Yarrowia lipolytica: one gene and its partners. The main gene of each other region encodes a partner of the protein of the gene in region 2 in a complex. Links are inferred from orthologs where the notes say so. Each region holds a gene or a part of one and is shown on either strand. Other genes may lie near its edges. The genes, in order: YALI1_E02415g, YALI1_A03278g and YALI1_E38113g.

Region 1 (2,498 bases), on a different chromosome or scaffold from region 2:
TCGCCCATGTATTTGAGGTACTGAGGAAGACAGTTTTCAGGCATCAGAGAATCCTTGAGATCGTCTGTGGTGAATCGACCAGGCTTGCATCCATGACACTTTTTGGACTTGGGGCAATTGAAATAGGGGAAGTGGTAATATCCAATGTCCTTGAACCAATGGATTTGTGACTGGTTAGCAAATAGTCCTGCGCCGACAGAGTGCACGGGAGCATCTCCCCATCTCTCGTAAAAGAACCCTCCCTGTTTATCCAGATGCTCAAACCATTGGGCGTATGCATCGCCCCTGAAGAACTTCAGAGACGCGATTTCAAAGTTGGACCAGAAATGGCAAGTGGAGTATCCGCCAGCCTGGGCGTTCCAGTCTGGTCTGCTGGGGTTCAGCAAGAATTGCATGGCATTGTCTTTGTGCAGATACTCCTTGTTCTTCATCAAGAAGGATTTAGTTTCCGGCCATAGGGTGGCAACGGTTTTGGGGTTGTCAAACAATGCAATGGTGAAGCCATACACCTTGTCATTGTCCTCCATGTATGCAAATACATCGTAGTCGATGTCACAATAGTATTGGGTGTCGGGTTCAACGCGCCAGTACCAGTCATAATCGTCCATGGCCTTGTGCTTGTAGAACATACCCGAGTTCCATCTGCACATCTTGTGGTAGGAGTCCATGGCACCATATCGTACACCAGCATCTTCCAGCTTCTTGCCGGCCTTCTTGGCCTTGTCCTTGTCGATCCATCTGGGGGCGTCCCAGTCCTTCTTTTCAATCAGCTCAAACTTGACTTCAGAGTCAGTCTGTTCGCGCACCTTTTCCTTGAACTCGTCGGTGAACTCTTCATCATTGAAAAAGATCCAAGGGTAGCCGAATTTGTGATTGAATGTGTCCTCGACCTGCACCATGGCATCCACAATACCGTCCAGCTCTTTGTTTCGAACAAGAGAGATAAGAGCGGCTTTAGTTCGCCGCGTGTCAGTGGCGCGAACAAGAGGCTTGGCACTGACAGGCTCGTCCACCTCTTCAAGCAGGGGATTGTTCTTCGGCGTTAAGTCCTCTTTTGGTTCCGTATATTGCAGGAATGCATCGTTGGGTTGCTTGTAGATGCTCTCCTCTTTCAAGAAGTCCGCATGTGTTCTGGTCCAGTCATCTTGTAACGAGAAGTAGATCAGGAACACGAGCAGACCGAGCGAAGCCGTCACCAGCAGCAGGAATAGTCTTCTGACTATCAGCGGGGTCATATTGTTAGGATGTGGTCCTGTCTCAATCGATTATAGTTAATAAACCTGTCGCGACACGCGAACACTAATCTAGTGTGGGCGTTGTAAATATGTCCCAACCAGGAATCGAACTGCGGGATGGAAAATTCCTCTTCCATACTTGGTGAGAACACAGATACAGAACACACACCTCATCACACAATGTTTGGGCCTTTTCGACAGTCTATGGTCACCTTTGGTGGCTACGTCCAGTGAGTATCATATATGAGCGACACGAATGAAAGTGTTGCCTAGCTATGCGGGATTTTCCAGCCACTCAAACATCATCTAACCATCAGCAAGCAGCGATACCGATGGAGATTGTCTCCTACACAGAAGGCTGGCCAGCGAAAGCGAATGAAGGCCGTCGACTCAGTCATGGATGTTCTGCGATCTAGCATGGAGAAGCTCGGCGTCACTCCCAAGTTCCTCATCAAGGCTGAGACCGAGTGCCCTCCTTCTTCGGCCATGCTCCCCAAGGACAAGTACACCGTTTTCAGCAAGAACCACAAGGGTTACCGAAAATCCGTTCACCGGGTGCCCAACTTCACCAAGACTACCAACCGAAAGAATCCCCTTGGTTTCTAAAATCCCAACTATTGGCCCTATACACTTGTACATATTAAATTATCTGGTATGATGGGAAGATCCAGCTGTGGATCCGAGTGCTGAGATTAAAGGGAAGTAATGTTATTCATTGAAAGTACAAGTACGTAGTACTGTACAAGTCATTGTAGTGTAGCTAGTTCGTAGATTTTAGTTACAAATACTATAATGTTTCCGCTCTATCCGTAACACTTCTGTGTATTTGCATGTGGTAACAAATCTTTTGGAGCAAAATTAAAGAGATGGTATACTGACATGATTGTGTTGATATTAAGCTGATGTTACTGTAGAGGTGAGAACACACTACAAGTACAAGTACAAGAATTGGTAAGAAACTATGGTTATGCGACCAGCACCCTCCACTATTGTACATCTCTCGCAGTAGCTACAAGTAGGGCGCATACTGTAGCATATCAATTTGCTACAAGTACCGACTTCACTCTGCTCTCATTATGTAATTATAAATTAATCGTCTATTTAAGTAATGCTCATATGACCCAGCCAACATTTTTTTCACTTCTTTCGCTCAGCCTTCCACTTGTAGCTGACATTTCCATCCTTGACCACCTTCTCCTTCTCGCCTCCCTTAGCAAGTTCTCGATCCAGATCCAGACGATGCTCCACGATCGCCAGCTCTCG
Region 2 (2,591 bases):
AGCGACATTGTTAGCAGGTTTCGCGCTTTCGCTTTCCGCCGCACGTGACATGAACATGGATCATAATGTATAGTGTCACTCTAGATCGCAACACATGGGCTTAGTGCTCAGCCGAATGGGGCCTGTGGATCAGCTACAATTGGCCTATGAACAGAAGTGTGTGGTGCCCCATCGAATTGAAGATTCGACGTTCGAAAAATATAATAAATCAAATCCAACTGTATTGTATCTATTCTGCGTGGAACTGGACAGTATTTCAGTTTTTAGCCAATTTCTCGAAAAACAAAACCAGACTCTAGATGTAGAAAACAAGCGATTGAAAGACAAATGTACACATACAACAAGTTCTGTCTTTTGGAATAAGTTCGATGAAACAAACCACTCTACTCCTAAGTACACCATCTAATACTTACCACCACCGTCACGTTGACTATCACTACACCGACCTACATCAACTACTAACTCCCACCGTTCTCAATCATCATGAATCATGCTCAATATATACAATTTTCGCCTCCTCTGGTTTCGACTCGTGTCCAGTCGCTCATCCTTCAGGTTTGTGTGTCACGTACCGACACGTCTCTTACTCTCGATCGATCCAGTTCTTTCGATCGGGGGCATCCTCCTCGGCAACAGGGCCGGACTTGACATACTCGTTCACCTTCTTGACGGTGAGCTTGGGGTCGAGGGGACCCGAGAAGCCTCGGAAAGAGTTCTTGATGGGCTCCAGGGTGGGGGACACAAACGGCTTGAGCTCACAAGCCTCCAGACCGGCAGGAACGACAAAAGTTCGGACCTTGTCTCGGTTGATAATGAATCGACCCTTGGAAGTGGTCTTACCGACTCCACCGGCTCCATGGCCCTTGTAGAAGTTCTTGTTACCCTGCTTGGAGGTAAGGGGCAGTCGCTTGTTACCGTTTTTCGACACACCGTAGAACAGGTTGAACATGTACCCGGAACGGTCCTTCTTCCATGGTCGCAGCAGCTGGGTCACAAACGAGGGTCTCATTGTGTGGAGATGTTTGTGTTGTGTGTTGAATGGTTTTTGATGTCGCGGTGATGATTTGGGAACCGTAAAATTTCACTCTCACGTGACGGGACAAAATAAGCTTGCTGGGAGATGATTAATAAGCTTGAAGGATGGAAGCAAATAAGGTTCTCGTATCGGAGATAGGAGATAAGGGAAATTGAAAAGATGAAATGGCGGGAGCGGAGAAGGAGATCAAGGGTCGAATTTTTGAAGAAAATGCGTGATGGGAATTTGTTCATTGAAATGTCACATTTTTTGTGGTTATTTTGGTATCAATTTTAGAGATGTTTATTCCTTGTTGAGTATTCCAGTTGGAGGCTGAGATGATTCATTGGAGACAAAAAAACTATGAATAATTCTTTACATAGTACTGTATATTACTGATTTTACCCCTTTACACAGTTTTTATCTCTTTTTTCTAGCCTTTTTCGCCGGATATTTGATCATTTCCACTGTCTTATAGTCGATACAACTCTGGGACCCCACCATTCGGGCGGTGGTGTAGTGGAAATATCTGCCTTCCCAAATTGCAAGCAGGCCAGGGGTTAATTCCCCCCCGCTCATTCTTTTTTGCTTCTCGTGTGGATGTTTTTCTTGTTTGCTGAGTCAGGATTGGTGTGTCCGGAAGCTGATTGAAAAATGAGAATAATGACATACTGACTATAGTCTTGTATTGAGTGAGTAGTTGACAGTTGGAAAGATTAATTATCAATGGCCATAATCCAATGGGGCTCCAGTCTATTCCTTTATGGAACAGCTCTCTCCATGTCCCACATGTGTCTAGTCGCATCATATACACCTGAACATCCAGTCGACGATAGAACGAAATAGACAAACAGGATATGTACAGATTGTACGGCACTGTACGTACAGTACATACTGTATTTTGTACAATTATGCTAAATTATCATACCCCAGTCTAATGATCAATAGAAACTCCCCGAGAGTGATCCATTAGCACCAAAGGGAACACAAGGGGCTATACTGAAGGGATACATGCTAGATGATACATAGATGATACATTTTAGATCATATAACTATACGAAGATAGATCCTAGCCTGGGTGGTTTGATTCCCAAATACTCCCATTATGAGTGGACTTTCGGTAAAATAGTTGCCTGAACTCAAGACGTGATATGAACTTGACTTCGCAAGTGCTATCAAACTCCCCTTCGACTCCGTAGGATCAACTCAATGACCATAATAACTCGGTATTGGTGACACTATAATTAGGGGGTATTTAATTCTATTTGCACTTGCAGTTACGAGAAATGAAGACCGAGTTCTTCACCAAAGTGAAGGGCATTTCTAGTTGCTCGTACCTCTCACTCATATAGAGCTTGGCTCCACAAAATGTTCGATGCTCTAATAAACAATCAAAACAACCCTGATCGAAGAGATTGAGATCGAGCAACTCGTTCAGCTGACCAGGTCTATTCTTGGATGCTCCTCTCATGTGGAGTTGGCGTCATGTTGAACTGTCGAACTTTTATTTATGCATGCTAATTTCAACGGTTCTAATTATAGCCAACCTTAAATGCCTCGGAATATTCAAGGACAC
Region 3 (2,902 bases), on a different chromosome or scaffold from region 2:
CATACAAACTGAACCTCGATTTCTCGGTTGGCGCCGGTCAGAGGACAATGGGTTCCCGAACGGAGTCTATGGGCCAGAAAGGGGATTCCTCCGGCACTGGTGACCGTGTTGGTCGTATCGTCCTTCTCGAAGCTACCGAGCACGAACGTGGGCGAATCGTCTGCCTGAGGAGGAGGATAGATTCGAGGGAAGTAATTGTCTCCATGTCTTCGATACTGAACGACTCCCGAGCCGTAACAGAAACGATACGAGAAGAATCCCTGTTCGTAGAAGAGACAGTCACCCAGAAGAGGCAACATGAGCTCCAAAGCTCTGTCTCGGGCCTCTGTTGGCGACAGTTCTCCCTCCTCTCGTGATTTTGAGCTCTTCGTGGTCGTGACTTCCGGAATACCGCAGATGTGGTTTGTGCCGTTGAATTGCATCATCTCGTACCCCAGGGGATGGCCATATACCGGATCTCGATGCGGTAGCAGGCCGTTCTGGACATCTGCTTGTCGCAATGGTCGGTTGTGGAACTGTACTGTGAATTGTGGGTCGGCAAAGAGATCGTCTCCTATGTTGAAGGTTGCTGCGAGCGACGAGCTTGCTATCAATGCCAGGGACTTTAACAACATGGCATGTGGCGAACTTGTGAGCTGGTGGTGGTGATTTCAATGTTAGTTACAGCTGTACTTGAACAGCACACGTCATGTCAGTTCAGCATGAATTAAGCGCAGTGGGAGATGCTGTTAGGCATTCAATAAGTGTCATAGGAGAATTTTTAATAAATATAATAAAATCACAGTAAATCGTTAGTCTGAACGAATTATTATATTTATATTTTCGTTTTTTACTCTTAAATCACTATTACAGCAATAAGCCGCCTCGTACACTCACCCCATCTCCATTACTGTATGTACGCTCATGTACCGAAATTGAGTTCATTCTAAGTATATGATTGGCTTAGTAAGCTTAACATGTTCAAGAAAAAATATGGAAGGTACAAGTACTTATATAGAGAAAACTACTTGGCCAAGGACACACTTTTGAATAATGACACAGAAAAAATCTATTGCTTTGAAACGACCTCAGCTGATCTGTCATTATTAGTACTTATAGCACCACCTGAATCACTGTCACTCCATCCCTACACTCTCTCCTCCCAATGTGCATGTTTTAACTCTGAAAAATTCCACAGGTCAATATCACATCTTCACACACAGCAGCCATGATTAGATCGACTGTTCGGCTGGCGCCACGAGGAGCAAGATTTATCACCAACAACAGTGGCTCTGCCGAGACTCTGCGGGTGGCCGACGAGAAGCTGGCCCAGATTCTCACCGGCGGCTCCACGTCCGGAGCACACACCTCCATCAAGGATCTGAACAAGCGAGCTCTGTACAAGAGTCCCCCTGGTCTGGATGCAATCTTCCCCGCTGCTCTGAAGATTGTCGAGGAGAAGAGCGCTGCCATCAAGAAGCAGGCCGAGGAGATTGCTAAGGAGTTCGAGGCTTCTGGAGACAAGGCTCTCAAGGACCAGTACATCAAGCTCATGGGCAAGGCCGAGGTCCACAACCCCCAGGTGATGATGAACCACGTGAACGGCAATGTCGATATGAATCACCCCGTCTACCGACATCTTGCCGAGGCCGACTACAAGAAGTACGAGCAGATTCTGCTGGTCGAGAGTCTAGAGACCATGCATGTCATTCCCGACACCATGCCCGTGATTGACGCCAAGGCTCGAGTTCGAGTCAACTTCCCCGGCAACGAGAAGGGCAAGTGGATCACTCCCGGAACACTGCAATCCACCGAGCTCACCTCCGAGCTGCCCATCGTCGAGATCCAGGAATTCGAGGACATCCCCAAGGACGCCAAGTACACAGTCCTGCTGGTTGATCCCGACTACCCCGTCCCTGAGACCGAGTCCTTTGGTACCAAGGTCCACTGGGCCGTGTCCAACGTGCCCATTTCCGTCGATCAGCCTCTTGTGAAGCCCGAGCTCGGAGACACTCTGGTCAAGTATGTGCCCTCCACCCCCGAGAAGAACTCTGGAGACCACCGAATGTCTCTGTGGGTGTTCCGACAGGACGGTGACGTCAAGGACTCTCTTTCGCATTCCGACTTCTTCGACATCCGGGGCTTTGCCGACAAGCATAAGCTGACCTCTGTGGGCGCTTTCTTCTGGCGAAACCGGTTCGACATGTTTGCCGAGAGCCTGCGGGAGAAGTTTGGCCTTGGAAGCGGCCGAGTGTTTGGAATGTCCAGAACTGGCGAGGACGTTCCCCGATAAGTGTATATAGTCAGAATCAGAACAAGCACCTCGTGCTTGTATTCGTAATGTGAAGAGTTACATCAACATGTCTATATTGTAAGATAACCATGGAAAGATCAGATCTAAAGGGTGGCTTAAATCAATTGAACATGGAGAACTTTTTTCGTATCTGGTATTCAAGGCTCCATCTACCATTTGTACTTGTAGTACGTCATACTGTGTCCAACTACACTCAACTACAACCCACATTCAAGTCACATACATAAATCAAATTGAAGGGAGCTGCGCAAGGCGTGCCACCAAAGAGGGAAAAGAACCGCTGGTAAGCCACTTCGCCTCATAACCTGTCCAAATGGTCAATTAATTACATGCTCGTCGAGCTTTTCGATGCATAAATAATACGCTTAGGCCTTCTCGGGGAAAGCGTGGTTGAGGTAGGCTTCAATGTCGAACTTGTCGTCAGAGATATCGGTAACAACACCGGTGGAGGCGACGGGGGCGGGGTGGAGTCGGGCCCACTCGGCCTTGGCCTGCTCAATGAGCTTCTCCTGCTTCTTGAACTTGGCATCAGCCACCTTCTTCTCAGCCTGGGAGTAGAGGGTTCGGTTGTGAACGAAGCCGTAGACGACACCGGCACCGAGGGCGGAC

What was found.
Region 1: YALI1_A03278g (region 2) and YALI1_E02415g share a complex: the UniProt entries of both Saccharomyces cerevisiae proteins name them as parts of the mitochondrial large ribosomal subunit. The link is inferred for Yarrowia lipolytica from reciprocal best matches to the Saccharomyces cerevisiae genes MRPL27 and MRPL31.
Region 3: YALI1_A03278g (region 2) and YALI1_E38113g share a complex: the UniProt entries of both Saccharomyces cerevisiae proteins name them as parts of the mitochondrial large ribosomal subunit. The link is inferred for Yarrowia lipolytica from reciprocal best matches to the Saccharomyces cerevisiae genes MRPL27 and MRPL35.

Annotation. Positions count from the first base shown.
Region 1 is NC_090774.1:240,151-242,648, forward strand, and holds YALI1_E02415g (mitochondrial 54S ribosomal protein mL60), read left to right. Parts: upstream 1-1,415; coding exon 1,416-1,465; intron 1,466-1,552; coding exon 1,553-1,841; downstream 1,842-2,498. Other genes in the region: YALI1_E02413g (uncharacterized protein), read right to left, coding at 1-1,235; YALI1_E02432g (uncharacterized protein), read right to left, coding at 2,373-2,498. UniProt on the Saccharomyces cerevisiae protein: Component of the mitochondrial ribosome (mitoribosome), a dedicated translation machinery responsible for the synthesis of mitochondrial genome-encoded proteins, including at least some of the essential transmembrane subunits of the mitochondrial respiratory chain.
Region 2 is NC_090770.1:326,279-328,869, reverse strand, and holds YALI1_A03278g (mitochondrial 54S ribosomal protein mL41), read right to left. Parts: upstream 1,010-2,591; coding exon 584-1,009; downstream 1-583. UniProt on the Saccharomyces cerevisiae protein: Component of the mitochondrial ribosome (mitoribosome), a dedicated translation machinery responsible for the synthesis of mitochondrial genome-encoded proteins, including at least some of the essential transmembrane subunits of the mitochondrial respiratory chain.
Region 3 is NC_090774.1:3,810,152-3,813,053, forward strand, and holds YALI1_E38113g (mitochondrial 54S ribosomal protein mL38), read left to right. Parts: upstream 1-1,207; coding exon 1,208-2,272; downstream 2,273-2,902. Other genes in the region: YALI1_E38107g (uncharacterized protein), read right to left, coding at 1-614; YALI1_E38131g (uncharacterized protein), read right to left, coding at 2,659-2,902. UniProt on the Saccharomyces cerevisiae protein: Component of the mitochondrial ribosome (mitoribosome), a dedicated translation machinery responsible for the synthesis of mitochondrial genome-encoded proteins, including at least some of the essential transmembrane subunits of the mitochondrial respiratory chain.